2 linked regions of the Macaca fascicularis genome follow. The protein of the gene in region 1 interacts with the protein of each later gene in a biochemical or structural test. Links are inferred from orthologs where the notes say so. Each region holds a gene or a part of one and is shown in the gene's direction. Other genes may lie near its edges. The genes, in order: torsin-1A-interacting protein 2 and TOR1A.

Region 1 (7,696 bases):
GTAACTTTAATGGTAATTTACATACATACATATATATGCATAGGATTTTCCCTCTCTTGTCTAGGTTGTAAGCATACAGAGACCTACCTCTACTGTGACTGCCTCCTTCACCTAGAAACCTTGCAGATACCACACTGACTAACTCTGAGGCAAAACTAAACTGTTACAAAACTAGATACTCTGCTGTAGCTATTATCCAGACTATAAGAGTTGCTCAAAAGAGGTGACATTACAGTGACAGTAGACTCATAGCCAATATTATAAGGGATGCGCTGGGCCACTAAAAAAGGAGGCCTCAGCTCTGGATGTTAAAGTTACTTTGGGAATTTGAGAAATCTGGAGGAATTCAGCGACTCATAAAAGAAGACCAGTAAGAAAAGAAATGATTAGGCGGGGCGCGGTGGCTCAAGCCTGTAATCCCAGCGCTTTGGGAGGCCGAGACGGGCAGATCACGAGGTCAAGAGATCAAGACCATCCTGGCTAACACGGTGAAACCCCCGTCTCTGCTACAAAAATACGAAAAAACTAGCCGGGCGAGGTGGCGGGCACCTGTAGTCCCAGCTACTCAGGAGGCTGAGGCAGGAGAATGGCGTAAACCCGGGAGGCGGAGCTTGCAGTGAGCCGAGATCCGGCCACTGCACTCTAGCCTGGGGGACAGAGCGAGAATCCGTCTCAAAAAAATAAAAAAGAAAGAAAGAAAGAAAAGAAATGGTTAAAACAAAGAATACACTAAATAATTCATTTACTTACCAAACATGTATTTTGTGCCAGCAATGAGGAAGATTGCTTTACCTTTAGGGAATTTGCCATTTATTGGGAAAGAGAAACACGAAAAATTACAATTCAGATTAAATGACTGGCATTAATTCACACACTTAACTATTAGGGCTAGGTCTAGAAATCCTGTGCTCTTGCGACTGGGTTCCTAAATCAGTTACTTTGTTTCATTTTTAATTTATTTATTTAGAGACAGAGTCTGGCTCTTTCGCCTAGGCCGGAGTGCAGTGGCGCAATCTCAGCTCACTGCAGCTTCCCGCCACCCCGGGTTCAAGTGATCTCATGCCTCAGCCTCCCGAGTAGCTGGGATTACAGGTGTCTGCCACCGCGCCCAGCTAATTTTTGTTATTTTTAGTAGAGACAGAGTTTTGCCATGTTGTCAAGGCTGGTCTTGAACTCCTGACCTCAGGTGATCCACCCGCCTTGGCCTCCCAAAGTCCTTGGATTACAGGCATGAGCCACCACGCCTGGTCAAAATAAATTATTTTAAATGAAACATTTGAGAACAAATTTTGTACAGGAACTTTTTGCTTAGGGTAAGCAGAAATTCATTTATTTAAAGAGAAATCATCTATCTGTTGTGACTTAGTAGTAGAAATGAAGTGGGCAACACTTAATTTTAATAAGGAAAATATGATTAAAATATTAAACAGGAGGAAGTTAATTAAAGATATAGTAGCTGGCTCCATTTATTCCCCAGTCTTACAAATGATAGAAAAAATATTTTAATGACTTAATACAAATGAAAATAGCTGGAAATGTTATACTGAAATTAAACACAATGAATGGATGGAATATAGTATTCTACTTTTTGTTGAATTAGGAATTGCAGTTAATTATTAAACACCATCCAAGAGAGTTACCATATCCTGTCACTTCTGCCAAAAGAGGATGGTTGAGAAGTGAAGGCACCAAAAAATCACATTAAATGAGGAATTATTAATTCAATAAATACCTGAGCTACTATGTAGTAGTCAGTCCCTGTTCTCTATGATGGGGATACAGCATGAACAAAATTGATTTAAAAAAAAATGTTTCCTGCCTACTTGGAGATTATATTCTATGGGAGGAGTCAGGCAAAAATCAAAATAAGTAAAATAGTGTGTTGGTCAGGACTGTTATGGATAAAACTGAGGAAAGGGGAAGGGAGTTTTACATGAGTAGATTTCTTCTTGAAATTGGTTTAGATTTGTCTTGAATTGGTATAGGTCAAGAACAGGAATTTTAGACTTACTCGATTTTGCCCCCAACAAATTGTATGTTCTTGGGTAAATTGCTCGCCATCTCTTAATTTTCACATTTATAAAATTAATAGATCAAAACAATAGCTATTTTTTTGTCACTACTGTCATTTAGCAGACATACTACATATGTCATCTAATTTACTCATAACCATCTTATGAGGTAAGTAACGTTGTCCCCATTTGACACACGAGCAAACTGAGGTTTAGATTAGGCAATTCGTTTGAGTACATGCTCCTCTTAATGGCACAGAGGGTGTGTTCCAGGACTTGGTGCTTGCCATTATCATTTGGTACTGCTTCTCACTGTGTTGGTCCTATGAGTTTCTTCAGTCTATGAATGTCAGGTCATATGGGTCAGGGTGGTCGACGTCTTACAGAGATGCCTGTAATCCTGTCAGATAGCATGAGAACTCGGGGACCTCCGCGGTTTGGTCGCGCATTTACCGCGCCTGTCGCTGGGTCAGACGACCTGGCAGTAGAGGGTGAAGGATAGAGAAGGCAGAAGGCAGGGCGCGGAGACTACTAGTCCCAGCATTCCACAGGCGCCTTCCGGCGGAAAGTGTTTGTCATATGGGCGGGGACCCTGGACGACATTCGGGCCGCAGCGGCCGCTGGGTGCAGCCGAGCGGTGTGGAGCGGAAAGACCACTCGAAGGGCTCTCCTGATACTAACAGTTCTACGATTTGAAACCCCGCCAGAATTTGTAAGTAAACAAAATGACTATGCAACTTTTCCATGTTTTAGTATTGGAATTAATGTCTTGAATTTTTCAAAAGGACTTCCAGAAACGGCCCCTCCCCACCCCCACCTCCCTACCGCACAAATGGTATTTTAATTTTTATTGTTTTTGAGACAGGTACTTGCCCTGTCACTCAGGCTAGAGTACAGTGGCGTGATTGTAGCTCACCACAGCCTCATACTTCTGGGCTCAAGCGATCCTCCCGCCTCAGCCTCCCAAGTAGCTCGAACTACAGGCCCGCACCACCATGCCCCACTAATAACTTTATTTTTTATTTTTGTAGAGACAGGGTCTCACTGTATTGCCCAGGCGGGTCTCGAACTCCCGGCTTCAAGCGATCCTCCCGCCTCAGCCTCCCAAAGTGCTGGGATTACAGGCGTGAGCCACCACGCCTGGCCTCACTCAAACAGTAAACGAGGTAGGTTGGGGGTATATTTTTGTTTTAGGATAAAAAGAAACTGAATCTTATAAATATTAAATGGGGTAAGATGTGAGTAAATTTTGGGGTTTAGACTTTAATATGAGAAGCAGAATTATTTTAGGGTTCGAAATGTAAGTGGGAAATTTGCCTACTAGTGTAGGTGGCGATTACTCCATGCCCAGCATGCCTAGGATCTCGACATTCTTAATCTTAATCCTGAAAAGATAGTACTTAAAAAAAAAATGGTGCTAAAAAGGGCAAAGTTGAAGTTTCAGTAAGACCTCCTACCATTTTGCTTACATATTATATATGTACATTCTCCCAATTGTATTTAATACCTGATGAAAAAGTTTGTGCCTTTTCCTTCTTTTAACAAAGTTCATAGTACTCTCTACTTTATGAGTAATGCTTAATTATCAGACTTTATACTGTTACACAGATCCAGAAATGAGTTATATAGATTAAACATACTGGTTTTGTTTTACCTGTGTTTAGGTTGTAACACGTTTTCTTTTGAATCTGTATGAGAGATCCTTTCTTTAAGCTGTGGCAGTTATCCATGTTTTTTGAGCTCTATTTTTTGAGCACAAGGTGAGTATATAAAGGGCCAGTGGAAACATTTAATAAAAAAAGGAACTTCATGGTAGAGTAACTACAGATGTTCTTGGAAGCCTTTGTGTGGATTAGAACAGTTTGAAAAACTAACATTTGCTATGAAAATTGAGTGCCTGTCTTCAATAATGTTTATTATGCTGAATGTGCAGTCCACAACTTGATTACCTGTTTTTCTGCAGGTTTGTTACGCAACCTTTCGTGACTCATTTAAGAACTGTTTTATCTAGTTTCTTTCCTAATATAGAGGTAATGCTAGCTTGAGAGCTTCAATAATTCACAAGTAAATTAACTTCAGAATGTAGCTAATTATTTGAGGATTATTGGGTGTTTTAACAATGCATTGTATTTTGTATATAACTTATTTTTGCCTAAGAAGTCATTTCTGTGTTTCATTCATTTCCATGGAACACAGAAGTCAAAACTCTATTCCAGGAAAGTCCACACTTCTTTGAAATGCCACTTGAATTTCCTGAAGGAAAGTTTGCTTCAAGAAGCCTTGTCTGCTTTATCACTTCGAGGTTGTTCACTAAGTTAACTGCGAAGGCCCATAAACTTGGAGATCTGACAACCTCCCAAAAAATTTGAAGAATGAAGAATTGGCTGTTTTATTTACTGTTTAGAATTTTAATTGTGTTAAAATTTCTTTAATATTTCTACATCATATGAACTACTGGATTAAACTGTGTCCCACAAGAAGGAATTCGTAGGGCGATCATACATTATCATAAATTTTGCACAGAAATCAAACATTTGGGAATAAGGAAGGGTGTCCCAATGAGCATAGACTTTGGAGTCATAGCTGGGTTTGAATTCCTATTTTGTCACTGTGTGGGCTGTTTCCCTTTTTACTAGTATTTAAAGGAGCTGACACATGAATTTTTTTTTTTTTTTTTTTTTTTTTGGTGCCATGACTCAGTTATGAACTGTGCACATAATTTTGGTAATCAAAATTTCTGGGAAGAAAATTCACCTATAATTCCACTACCTCAACAACAAATTGTTTGGTTTTTGGAGATTTTCCTTCAGCCCTTGACTATGAGTATATATCATGTAAATGTAATGACATTTTTGGAAAAAGTCAAATTTTAAAACATTAGTGTCTTCTGGGATTTTGTTTTAATTAAATGAAGCTGTTTGGTTTTGCCTGTAGTAGTTCAAATAATAACAATTTACAGTTTTTGAGGACTTCTTTTCTGCCCCTGTGGTTGTCAGTATTGCTCATTATCTCATTTAATCTTCACATTGCCTCTTTCATCTAAGTACTGTTATTCCATTTTATAATTAAGAAAACCAAGGAAAAAGTTAGCCAGGGGCTGGGCACAGTGGCTCATGCCTATAGTCCCAGCACTTTGGGAGGCCAAGGTGGATGGATCACTTGAGATCAGGAGTTTGAGACCAGCCTGGCCAACATGGTGAGACCCCATCTCTACTAAAAATACAAAGAAATTAGCTGGGCATGGTGGCGGGCACCTGTAATCCCAGCTTCTCGGGAGGCTCGAGGCAGGAGAATCGTTTGACCCTGGGAGGCGGAGGTTACTGTGAGCTGAGATCACGCCATTGCACTCCAGCCTGGGGGACAGAGTGAGACTCCGTCTCAAAAACAAAACAAAAAACAAAGAAAACCAAGGGCAGAGAGAGAAAGAGAAACACCAAGTCAGAAGCTGGAGCAGTCATTCAGGCCTAGACAGTCTGACCTTAGAGGATAGTGCTATATTGGGTTTTATGTTTGGTAGATTTGCTTTATGGATGTTAGGTCATATTTGTAGATAGGAGTTGATCCTGGAGGCTGACTTACAACATTCTTTGTATGAAAGTTTTTTGTTTGTTTCTTTTTTGAAACAAGATCTCTCTCTCTTATCCAGGCTGGAGTGCAGTGGCACAATCACAGCTCACTGCATCCTTGACCTCCCAGTCTCAAGTAATCCTCCCACCTCAGCCTTCCAAGTAGCTGAGACTACAGGCACAGACCACCATACCTGACTAATTTTTGTATTTTTTGTATAGACAAGATCTTGATATGTTGTCTAGGCTGGTCTCTGAACCCTTGGGCTCAAGCAGTCTTCTCCTGCTTGAACTTCCTGGGATTATAGGCATGAGCCACCATACCTGACTACGGTATTTTTTAAAGTACTGTATATAACTACTTTTTCTTTTTTCTTTTCTTTTCTTTTCTTTTCTTTTTGAGACAAGGGCTTGCTCTGTTTCCCAGGCTGGAGTATAGTGGCACTATCATGGCTTACTGCAAACTTGAACTCCTGAGCTCAAGTGATCCTCCCACCTCAGTCTCCCAAGTAACTGAGACGATAGGCACACACTGCCATACCCAGCTATGTTTTGTATGTTTGTAAAGATAGGGTCTCACTGTGTTGACCAGGCTGGTCTCAAACTCCTGGCCTGACATGATTCTCTCACCTTGGCTCCCAGAAGGCTGGGATTAAAGGCATGAGCCACTGCGCCTCCCGCCCCTACCCCCCTTTATAACTACTTTGATCACTAGATTTTTTTTTTTTTTTTTTTTTTGAGACGGAGTCTTGCTCTGTCACCCAGGCTGGAGTGCAGTGGCCAGATCTCAGCTCACTGCAAGCTCCGCCTCCTGGGTTTACGCCATTCTACCGCCTCAGCCTCCGAGTAGCTGGGACTACAGGCGCCCGCCACCACGCCCGGCTAGTTTTTTGTATTTTTAGTAGAGACGGGGTTTCACCGTGTTAGCCAGGATGGTCTCGATCTCCTGACCTCGTGATCCGCCCGCCTCGGCCTCCCAAAGTGCTGGGATTACAGGCTTGAGCCACCGCGCCCGGCCGATCACTAGATTTTTAACAAATGTTGTAGGAAAATAAAGAAGATAAGGGAAATGTTTAGTTCCTTAACAGATGAGGCCATTCACCTATAGTTTTATTAGTTGTAGTAAAAATATAATTTATATACAAGGCAAATTATTAGGTCTAAGTTTTCCTTTTTTTTTTTTTGAGATGGAGTCTCGCTCTGTCACCCAGGCTGGAGTGCAGTGGCATGATCTCGGCTCACTGCAAGCTCTGCCTCCCAAGTTCATGCCATTCTCCTGCCTCAGCCTCCCAAGTAGCTGGGACTACAGGCACCTGCCACCATGCCCGGCTAATTTTTTTGTATTTTTAGTAGAGATGGGGTTTCACCGTATTAGCCAGGATGGTCTCGATCTCCTGACCTCGTGATATGCCCGTCTCGGCCTCCCAAAGTGCTGGGATTACAGGCGTGAGCCACTGCGCCCGGCAAGCTTTCCTTTTTTAAAATTAAAAATATAAGATTTATAATGAAGGAAAACTAACTTTAAAGCAATGCTCCTTAAACTTTATAGTGAACACCAGAGTCATCTGGCAAATCTGTTAAAACATAAACTCCTGCCAGAGGCTCTCAGAGATTCTGGTCTAGTGGGTCTAGGTTGGGGCCTGAATTTGTTCTTTTAGCAAGTTCCTAGGTAATGCTAATGATTCCTAGCTAATGAGTTGAATATAGTAAGGAAACAAACACACTTGTTGTCCATATTGTTGGCTTGATAGTTATACCCCAGTAGCACTGAGCATTCAGATCTTGGTTTGTAAAGGCACTAGGACTTTTTAGAGAAGTGGCTGATTTCAGTGCGGAGGCAGAGAAAATACAAGATGAGCCTGAAACATCCTGTGGTGCTTGAAAGTAAGGAAATGCTAGAAAAAGTTAGGGACCTTGTCAAAAGGAGCCAACTTGAAGGAGTTCCTGGTATCCAGGTTGGAGCAATTTGAGCAGTAAAATGAATAGTGATAGTATTGGACTTTAACCCATAAAATAAAATGAGTTCATACTGATATTGCTGAATAAATAAGTAGGGGAGAAGGGACAACTCTTTCTAACAGAAGAATTCCAGTTAGTAAACATTGAAGGAAAGAAGGA
Region 2 (7,821 bases), on another chromosome or scaffold:
AACTGACAGAAAAATCTAGGATGAGATCAGAAGGATACTGGTGTTTTCTGACTTTTACAAAATTACTTGTTTGTTTTCATTTAAAAAAAAGCATAAACTATGTTTCTTATTACTATTAGAATTGAATTATTAAATTTCAAAATGAATCTAACCATATTGTTTGTATTATGTTTCCTTATACCAACATCAGGTAATGTTTTCAAAGCCCATGGTTTGGGTAGCTAAATGTAAAATTGAATTACTGAGATGGATTTTCTCATTTATTTCAAATGTCATAGACGTGCTGCAACCTGCTAACTGTCAAGTACCTTCTTACCTGTGCCCTCATTTTTCCTGAGGCATCCACATGGTCCGGAAGAGGAAAGAGCAGATTGGCTGACTTACGGGCGGAGTTAGAGCAAGTATTGTGGTTATGGTGGTTTGGCCCAGGAGTCACATCTGAGCCCAGCTCACAGCTTACTAATTGTGTCCTTGGACAGATCCTTTTCACTCTTAGCCTCAGTTTTCTCATCTGTAAAGTGGAGACTTTTTTGTCCTCCTCCACTTGAATGTGGTCAGTGAAGGCAGGAACCATGTATGCCTAATTTTTAAATTTGAAACCCCAGGGCATAGCCCACAATCTGACACATAGGCAGCCCTCAAAACTGTGAATGATCCCTATAGTGTCTGGCTTGTAACAAATGCACAAAAGTATTATTTGAAATCCAATATGAAAAGTTGAACCTTAAAAAATATTTTCAGGATATTTCAACTAGCATTTAACAGGTCCCAACGATGTACAGGCGTAACCCAAGATGAATACTAAAGGCCTAGCACATCTGGCACACAGCAACGCAACACGTGTTTATGGGATGAACAGGCAAATAAGTGGATGATCAACAGTTCTCACTTGCCAGAGTTCCCTTTGCTGGAAAATGAGTAATCTTTTACCCAGCTTAAAAGTGGCCACCAGATGGAGGGAGCCAGGTCTCTCACTGTTGGGGTGGGAATTCACAGATAAGCAAGGGGAGGAGGCTCCAATGATCCGTGTAATGGATTAGAGTTGGAGATGTCAGCATGAGCTCATGTTTAGCTTAATATAAGTACAGATGTTTACCTAGAAATATTTATAGATATGTGTGTGTGTTTAATAGTATATACACACATTTTTTTGTTCTGTCAGCTGAGACTGCCTGAAAGAAATGACATCTCAGCAAGAAGCACACCTAGCACCCAGAGCTTGGTTTCTTTCTTTTTTTTTTTTTTTTTTTTTTTTTTTGAGATGGAGTCTCGCTGTCACCCAGGCTGGAGTGCAGTGGCATGATCTCGGCTCACTGTAACCTCCACCTCCTGAGTTCAAGGAATTCTGTTTCAGCCTCCTGCATAACTGGGACTATAGGCACATGCCACCATGCCCAGCTAATTATTTTGTATTTTCAGTAGAGATGGGGTTTCACCATATTGGTCAGGCTGATCCCAAACTCTTGATCTCAGGTGATCCACCTGCCTCAGCCTCCCAAAGTGCTGGATTACAGGCACGAGCCACCATGCCCAGCCAGTTTGTAATGCCATTCTACAATGAAAGGAATCAGGGTTCCTCGTAGAAATAGGATTCTGGGACGGGGGCAGGAAATATACAAGATGAGCCTGGAGCATCCTGTAGTGGCAGAAAGGAAAGAAGCACTCAAACCCAAATAAACTGGTATACACTGGGTGTAGGTCAAAGGAACACAAAGAACCACTTAAATTCCCCGTGGCCAAAATGAGAACAATTTGAGAAAAAAAAAAATTAGTACTGTATTATAACACAAAGGATAAAATAACAATGGTCCATACTGATATAAATGATTGAATACATGGGGGAGAAAAAACAAATCTCCCATGCAGAATTCCAGATAATCTCTGCAGATACTCTGCTCCCAAGGAGGTGGAGCAAAATCCCTAACTCCTTAATGTGTGGGCTGTGCATGGGGACCTCCTTCCAAAGAGTACAGTAGAGAAAAGAGGGGTGGGGAGAAGAATAAGTGTACAGTGCGGAGACTTGATACTACCTCAGTCAAGTGATCAAGTCAGCACCAACAGTGATAGGTAATGTTGACAGTAAGAACCCTTCCTTGGTAGAATGTGATGAGCATAGCACTTTACCTTTGTGATCTTCCTTCCAAAACCCCATAGCGCTAGTCTAATCCTGAGAAAAACATCAAATTCCAGTAGAGGGCCAGCCTACCAAAGATTGTGGCAATACTCCTCAAAACTATCAAGGTCATCAAAAATAAAAGGCTGAGGCCAGGCATGGTGGCCCACACCTGTAATCCCAGCACTTTGGGAGGCTGAGGTGGGTGAATCACAAGGTCAGGAGATCAAGACCATCCTGGCCAACATGGTGAAACCCCGTCTTTACCAAAAATACAAAAATTAGCCAGGTATGGTGGTGTATGCCTGTAATCCCAGCTGCTCGGGAGGCTGAGACAGGAGAATCACTTGAACCTGGGAGGCGGAGGTTGCAGTGAGCTGAGATCACACCACTGCACTCCAGCTAAAATAAAAATAAAAATAAAAGGCTGAGACACTGTCACTAACAGGAGTCTAAGACATAACAAATTAATGTATCCTGAATGGAAACCTGGAGCAGAAAAAGGCATAAGTAAAAGGAAGGAAATCCGAATAAACTGTACACTTTAGTTAATATAACAACAGTGCTTCGTTAATTTTAACAAATGTAATACACTAATAATGTAAGAATTTAGTAACGGGTAATTGCAGGGAGGTGTGGCACATGGGAACTCTGTACTCTTACAATTTTTTCTGTAAATCTGTTCTAAAAATTAACGTCCATTATTATTTTTTTGGGGGAGGGACACAGTCTTGCTCTGTCGCCCAGGCTGGAGTATAGTGGTGGGATCTCAGCTCACTGCAACCTGCGCCTCCTGGGTTCAAGCGATTCTCATGCGTCAGCCTCCCCAGTAGCTAGGTGCCTACCACCACACCTGGCTGATTTTATATTTTTAGTAGAAGACGTGGTTTCACCATGTTGGTGAGGCTGGTCTCGAACTCCTGACCTCAGGTGATACACCCGCCTCAGCCTCCCAAAGGGCTGGGATTACAGGCGTGAGCCACCACGCCCGGCAAAAATAACGTCCATTACTTTAAAATAAACAAACAAAAACACGTGGCCGACGGGGGCGGTGCAGATCCGACCTTCCGGAAGCAAAACAGGGCTTTGTACCGAACAAAGATGGCGGCCGCCGGCGTCGGGAGGAGGGCTGCCCTGAAGAAAGATGGCCTCCGCGCGAGGAGGAACCGGAAGCGCGGGTCTGGCGGCGGTACTGGTTCGCGGTCGGCGCGAGAACGCGCAGGGTGGCGCGGGTCCGGGCATGAAGCTGGGCCGGGCCGCGTTGGGCCTGCTGCTGCTGGCGCCGTCCGTGGTGCAGGCGGTGGAGCCCATCAGCCTGGGACTGGCCCTGGCCGGCGTCCTCACCGGCTACATCTACCCGCGTCTCTACTGCCTCTTCGCCGAGTGCTGCGGGCAGAAGCGGAGCCTTAGCAGGGAGGGTAGGCAGGGGCGGGGGCTGGGGCGGGGGCTGGAGGCTGGGGCGGGGGCTGGAGGCTGGAGGCTGGAGGCTGGGGCTGGGAGATGGCACTAGGGCTGGGCTAGGACCAGGGGATGGAGGATGGAGGATGGAGGCGGGGGGATGGCACCGGGGCCGGACTAGGACTAGGGCTGGAGCGGGGCTTGGGGGCTGGGCGATGGCACTAGGGCCGGGCCGGGCTGGGGCTGGGGCTGGTGAATCGCACTAGGGCCGGGCTAGGACTAGGGCTGGAGCGGGGCTTGGGGGCTGGGGGATGGCACTAGGGCCGGGCCGGGATAGGGATCAAATCCCAGGAGGGCCGGGCCTGGGCAGAGCTGAGTCCGTGCGGGCCGGACCCCGGAAGCCGAGCGACCCCTGCAGGATGAGGCCTGGCCCCTTGGCCACCACAGACGGGCCAGACTTCAGTTGGAGACCTGAGGAGCCGGGCTGCAGGTTGGCCTACTTTGTGCTAAGCTGGGGGTGGACCGGTGGTAATCTCCCTCCGAAGTGGGCTCTGCTTCCTTTATAGCCTAGCGGGAGACAGGAAGGATGGTGAGGACTTCTTCGGAGCCGACCGGGAGGGACCAAACTGCTTTCTTTCCCCGCCCTGCCTTGGGGTGGGAGGAGCAGCACAGGGGTTAGAGGTGCAAACTGGTGGCAGTGGCAGTGGCAGTGGCACCCGCACCAAGGGCCTTTTCGGGAAGGAACCGGGCCAGGGCTTTAGAATAGGCAGGACCAGCAAAGGGAGGGCTCCCTGGACCACCGTCCCCTCTGGGCCAGGAGCTTACAGACCGCAGTACTTGAGGTTTCACAAGGTGCTTGAAGAGCTAGACGGCTTTGCTGACTTTCTCATGGGCTGTAAATGTGGCTGCCTTTTGTCACTGTTTCTTCCCCACTCCTGATTGGCTTTGTCTCCCCCAGCATTGCAGAAGGATCTGGACAACAAGCTCTTTGGACAGCATCTTGCAAAGAAAATCATCTTAAATGCTGTGTTTGGTTTCATAAACAATCCGAAGCCCAAGAAACCTCTCACCCTCTCCCTGCACGGGTGGACAGGCACCGGCAAAAATTTCGTCAGCAAGATCATCGCAGAGAATATTTACGAGGGTGGTCTGAACAGTGACTATGTCCACCTGTTTGTGGCCACATTGCACTTTCCACATGCTTCAAACATCACCTTGTACAAGGCAAGGATGGGAGTTTGGAATCCCTTCCTGGATGTCGTCGGGTTTGGGGTCTCTTCGTTGTGGGATGAGATTTGGAAATTGTGTTGAAATGAGTGAGCCCTGAAAATGGTTCACGTCTCAGTTCCCCTTGGAAAGGTGTAGAAGTTAGAGTTTGAGATGCGTGGAGCAGTTAACACCATCAAAGCTTTGTGGTGGGTTCTGAAAATCGGTCCAGTGAGTTTGTAGGGTCATGGGATTTTAGAGGTGGACATGATCTAATCCATCTTAGAGATCAACACATCTCACTCGTTTTTGTTTTTTTTTTTCCTTTATTTTGAGATGAAGTTTCACTCTTGCTACCCAGACTGGAGTGCAATGGCATGATCTCAGCTCACTGCAACCTCTGCCTCCTAGTTCAAGCAATTCTCCTGCCTTAGCCTCCCAGGTAGCTGGGATAACAGGCTCCTGCTACCATGCCCAGCTAATTTTTGTATTTTTAGTAGAGATGGGGTTTTGCCAACTTGGCCAGGCTGGTCTCGAACTCCTGACCTCAGGTGATCCGCCCACCTCAGCCTCCCAAAGTGCTGGGATTACAGGTGTGAGCCACCATGCCCGGTCACATCTCACTCATTTTGTGAAAGAGGAAACATATGTAGAGAGTCCTAAGTTTGTTGAACCTACTGTTGCAAACTGCCCTTTTTTTTTCTTTGAGTCAGGGTCTCACTCTGTTGTCCAGGCTGGAGTGCAGTGACGCCATCTTGTCTCACGGCAACCTCCGCCTTCTGGGTTCAAGCGATTCTCCTGCCTCAGCCTCCCGAGTAGCTGTGACTACAGGCATGCACCACCACACCCGGCTAATCTTTGTATTTCTAGTAGAGATGGGGTTTCCCCACATTGGCCAGCCTGGTCTCGAACTCCCGACCTCAAGTGATCTGCCCACCTCAGCCTCCCAAAGTGCTAGGATTACAAGTGTGGGCCACCTCGCCCAGCGGCAAACAGCTTTTATGGTTGAACTCACTGATTAGCAGCTTGGGCTTTGGCAGCAGACACATCTGGATTTGAGTCCTAACACTCTCCCAGCTCCATAGTCTTAGGACAGTTGCCTGACCTGAGACTCAGGTTCTGACTTACAAAGTGTTGCTTGTAACAATCCAGGGAACTCTGTCTGTCAAGTGTGTAACATGTGCCTGGTGCATGTTACAAATAAATGTTAACTGTTGCCTTTTAGATCCTTGTAACAGACCTGCAAGGTGGGCAAAAGTTATTATTTGTTTATTTTTTGAGACTGAGTTTCACTCTTGTAGCCCAGGCTGGAGTTCAATGGCACAATCTCCATCTGGGCTCACTGCAAACTCTGCCTCCCGGGTTCAAGTGATTCTCCTGCCTCAGCCTCCCAAGTAGCTGGGATTACAGGTGCCCGCCACCACACCCAGCTAATTTTTGTATTTTTAGTAGAGACAGGGTTTCACCTTGTTGGCCAGGCTGGTCTGGAACTCCTGACCTCAAGGTGATCCACCTGCCTCTGCCTCCCAAAGTGCTGAGATTACAGGCATGAGCCACCATGCCTGGCCTCAATCAGTTATTTATCCCTGACTGTATCCATGGAAAAACGTGAACACATTTTTCCCTTCTGTTTGGGTAAGCACGTGGGTCACCCACTGTCCAGCGGTTCTGTCCTGAAATGCGAATGTCCCATGGGTGTGGTGGCTCACACCTGTAATTCTAGCATTATGGGAAGCCAAACCGGCTGATCCCTTGAGCTCAAGAGTTCCAGACCAGCCTGGGGAACATGGTGAAATCCCATCTCTACTAAAAAAATACAAAAAAAAAATTAGTCAGGCGTGGTGGCACGCACCTGTAGTCCCAGCTAGGGGCCTGAGGCAGAAGGATGGCTTGAACCTGGGAGGTCGAGGCTGCAGTGAGCAGAGAGCCACTGCACTCCAGCCTGGGTGACAGAGTGAGACCCTGTCCCAAACAAGCAGGAACCATTCTAGAGGAATCAGGATGAGTTGGTCATCTTAGAACTGAGGCTTCACTAACAATAACTGTGACTTTAGGCAAGTTACTTCACTTGTCTGTGCCTCAGTTTTCTCATTTGTAAAAGAAGGAGCACAGTGGTAACTACCATGATGGGTTTTGGGAGGTCAGAGTAAAATATTTTATGAACAGACCAGGCGCGGTGGCTCACACCTGTAATCGCAGCACTTTGGGAGGCCAAAGCGAGTGGATCACCTGAGGTCAAGAGTTCAAGACCAGCCTGGCCAAGATGGTGAAACGCCATCTGTACTAAAAATACAAAAATTGGCCGGGCGCGGTGGCTCAAGCCTGTAATCCCAGCACTTTGGGAGGCCGAGGCGGGCGGATCACGAGGTCTGGAGATCGAGACCATCCTGGCTAACACGGTGAAACCCCGTCTCTACTAAAAATACAAAAAGAAATTAGCCGGGCGTGGTGGCGGGCGCCTGTAGTCCCAGCTACTCCGGAGGCTGAGGCAGGAGAATGGCGTGAACCCGGGAGGCGGAGCTTGCAGTGAGCCGAGATCGCGCCACTGCACTCCAGTCTGGGCGACAGAGCGAGACTCCGTCTCAAAAAAAAAAAAAAAAAAAAAAATACAAAAATTAGCTGGGCGTAGTGGCAGGTGCCTGTAATCTCAGCTACTCAGGAGGCTGAGGCAAGGGAATCGCTTGAACCTGGGAGGCAGAGGTTGCAGTGAGCTGAGATCACATCATTGCATTCCAGCCTGGGTGACAGAGCAAGACTCTGTCTCAAAAAAAAAAAAAAAAAAAAGTTGTATGAACAGTGCTTAGAATATTCCATATAAGTTAGTAGGTCACCAGAGTAGGAAATCTTGGCTGCTGGAGCCTAACAAGTCTGAATGAATCCTTGTTTATTTCATTTTGTTTTATTGTTGTTTATTATTATTTGAGACAGAGTCTCACTCTGTCGCCCAGGCTGGAGTGCTGGACTGTAGTGGGGCAGTCTTAGCTCACTGCAACCTCCGCCTCCCAGGTTCCAGCGATTCTCAAGCCTCAGCCTCCCAAGTACCTGGGATTACAGTCACCCGCCACTACGCCTGGCAAATTTTTTTTTTTTTTTTTTTAATGGAG

The links.
Region 2: the proteins of torsin-1A-interacting protein 2 (region 1) and TOR1A form a complex in vitro, tested with the Homo sapiens proteins (4 studies listed by BioGRID and IntAct, with this or other methods). The link is inferred for Macaca fascicularis from reciprocal best matches to the Homo sapiens genes TOR1AIP2 and TOR1A.

The regions. Positions count from the first base shown.
Region 1 is NC_088375.1:37,364,053-37,371,748, reverse strand, and holds the start of torsin-1A-interacting protein 2, read left to right. Parts: upstream 1-2,613; 5' UTR 2,614-2,724; intron 2,725-3,043; exon of another isoform or gene 3,044-3,178; intron 3,179-7,696. UniProt on the Homo sapiens protein: Required for endoplasmic reticulum integrity. Regulates the distribution of TOR1A between the endoplasmic reticulum and the nuclear envelope as well as induces TOR1A, TOR1B and TOR3A ATPase activity.
Region 2 is NC_088389.1:14,081,151-14,088,971, forward strand, and holds the start of TOR1A (torsin-1A), read left to right. Parts: upstream 1-3,304; 5' UTR 3,305-3,353; coding exon 3,354-3,531; intron 3,532-4,469; coding exon 4,470-4,735; intron 4,736-7,821. UniProt on the Homo sapiens protein: Protein with chaperone functions important for the control of protein folding, processing, stability and localization as well as for the reduction of misfolded protein aggregates.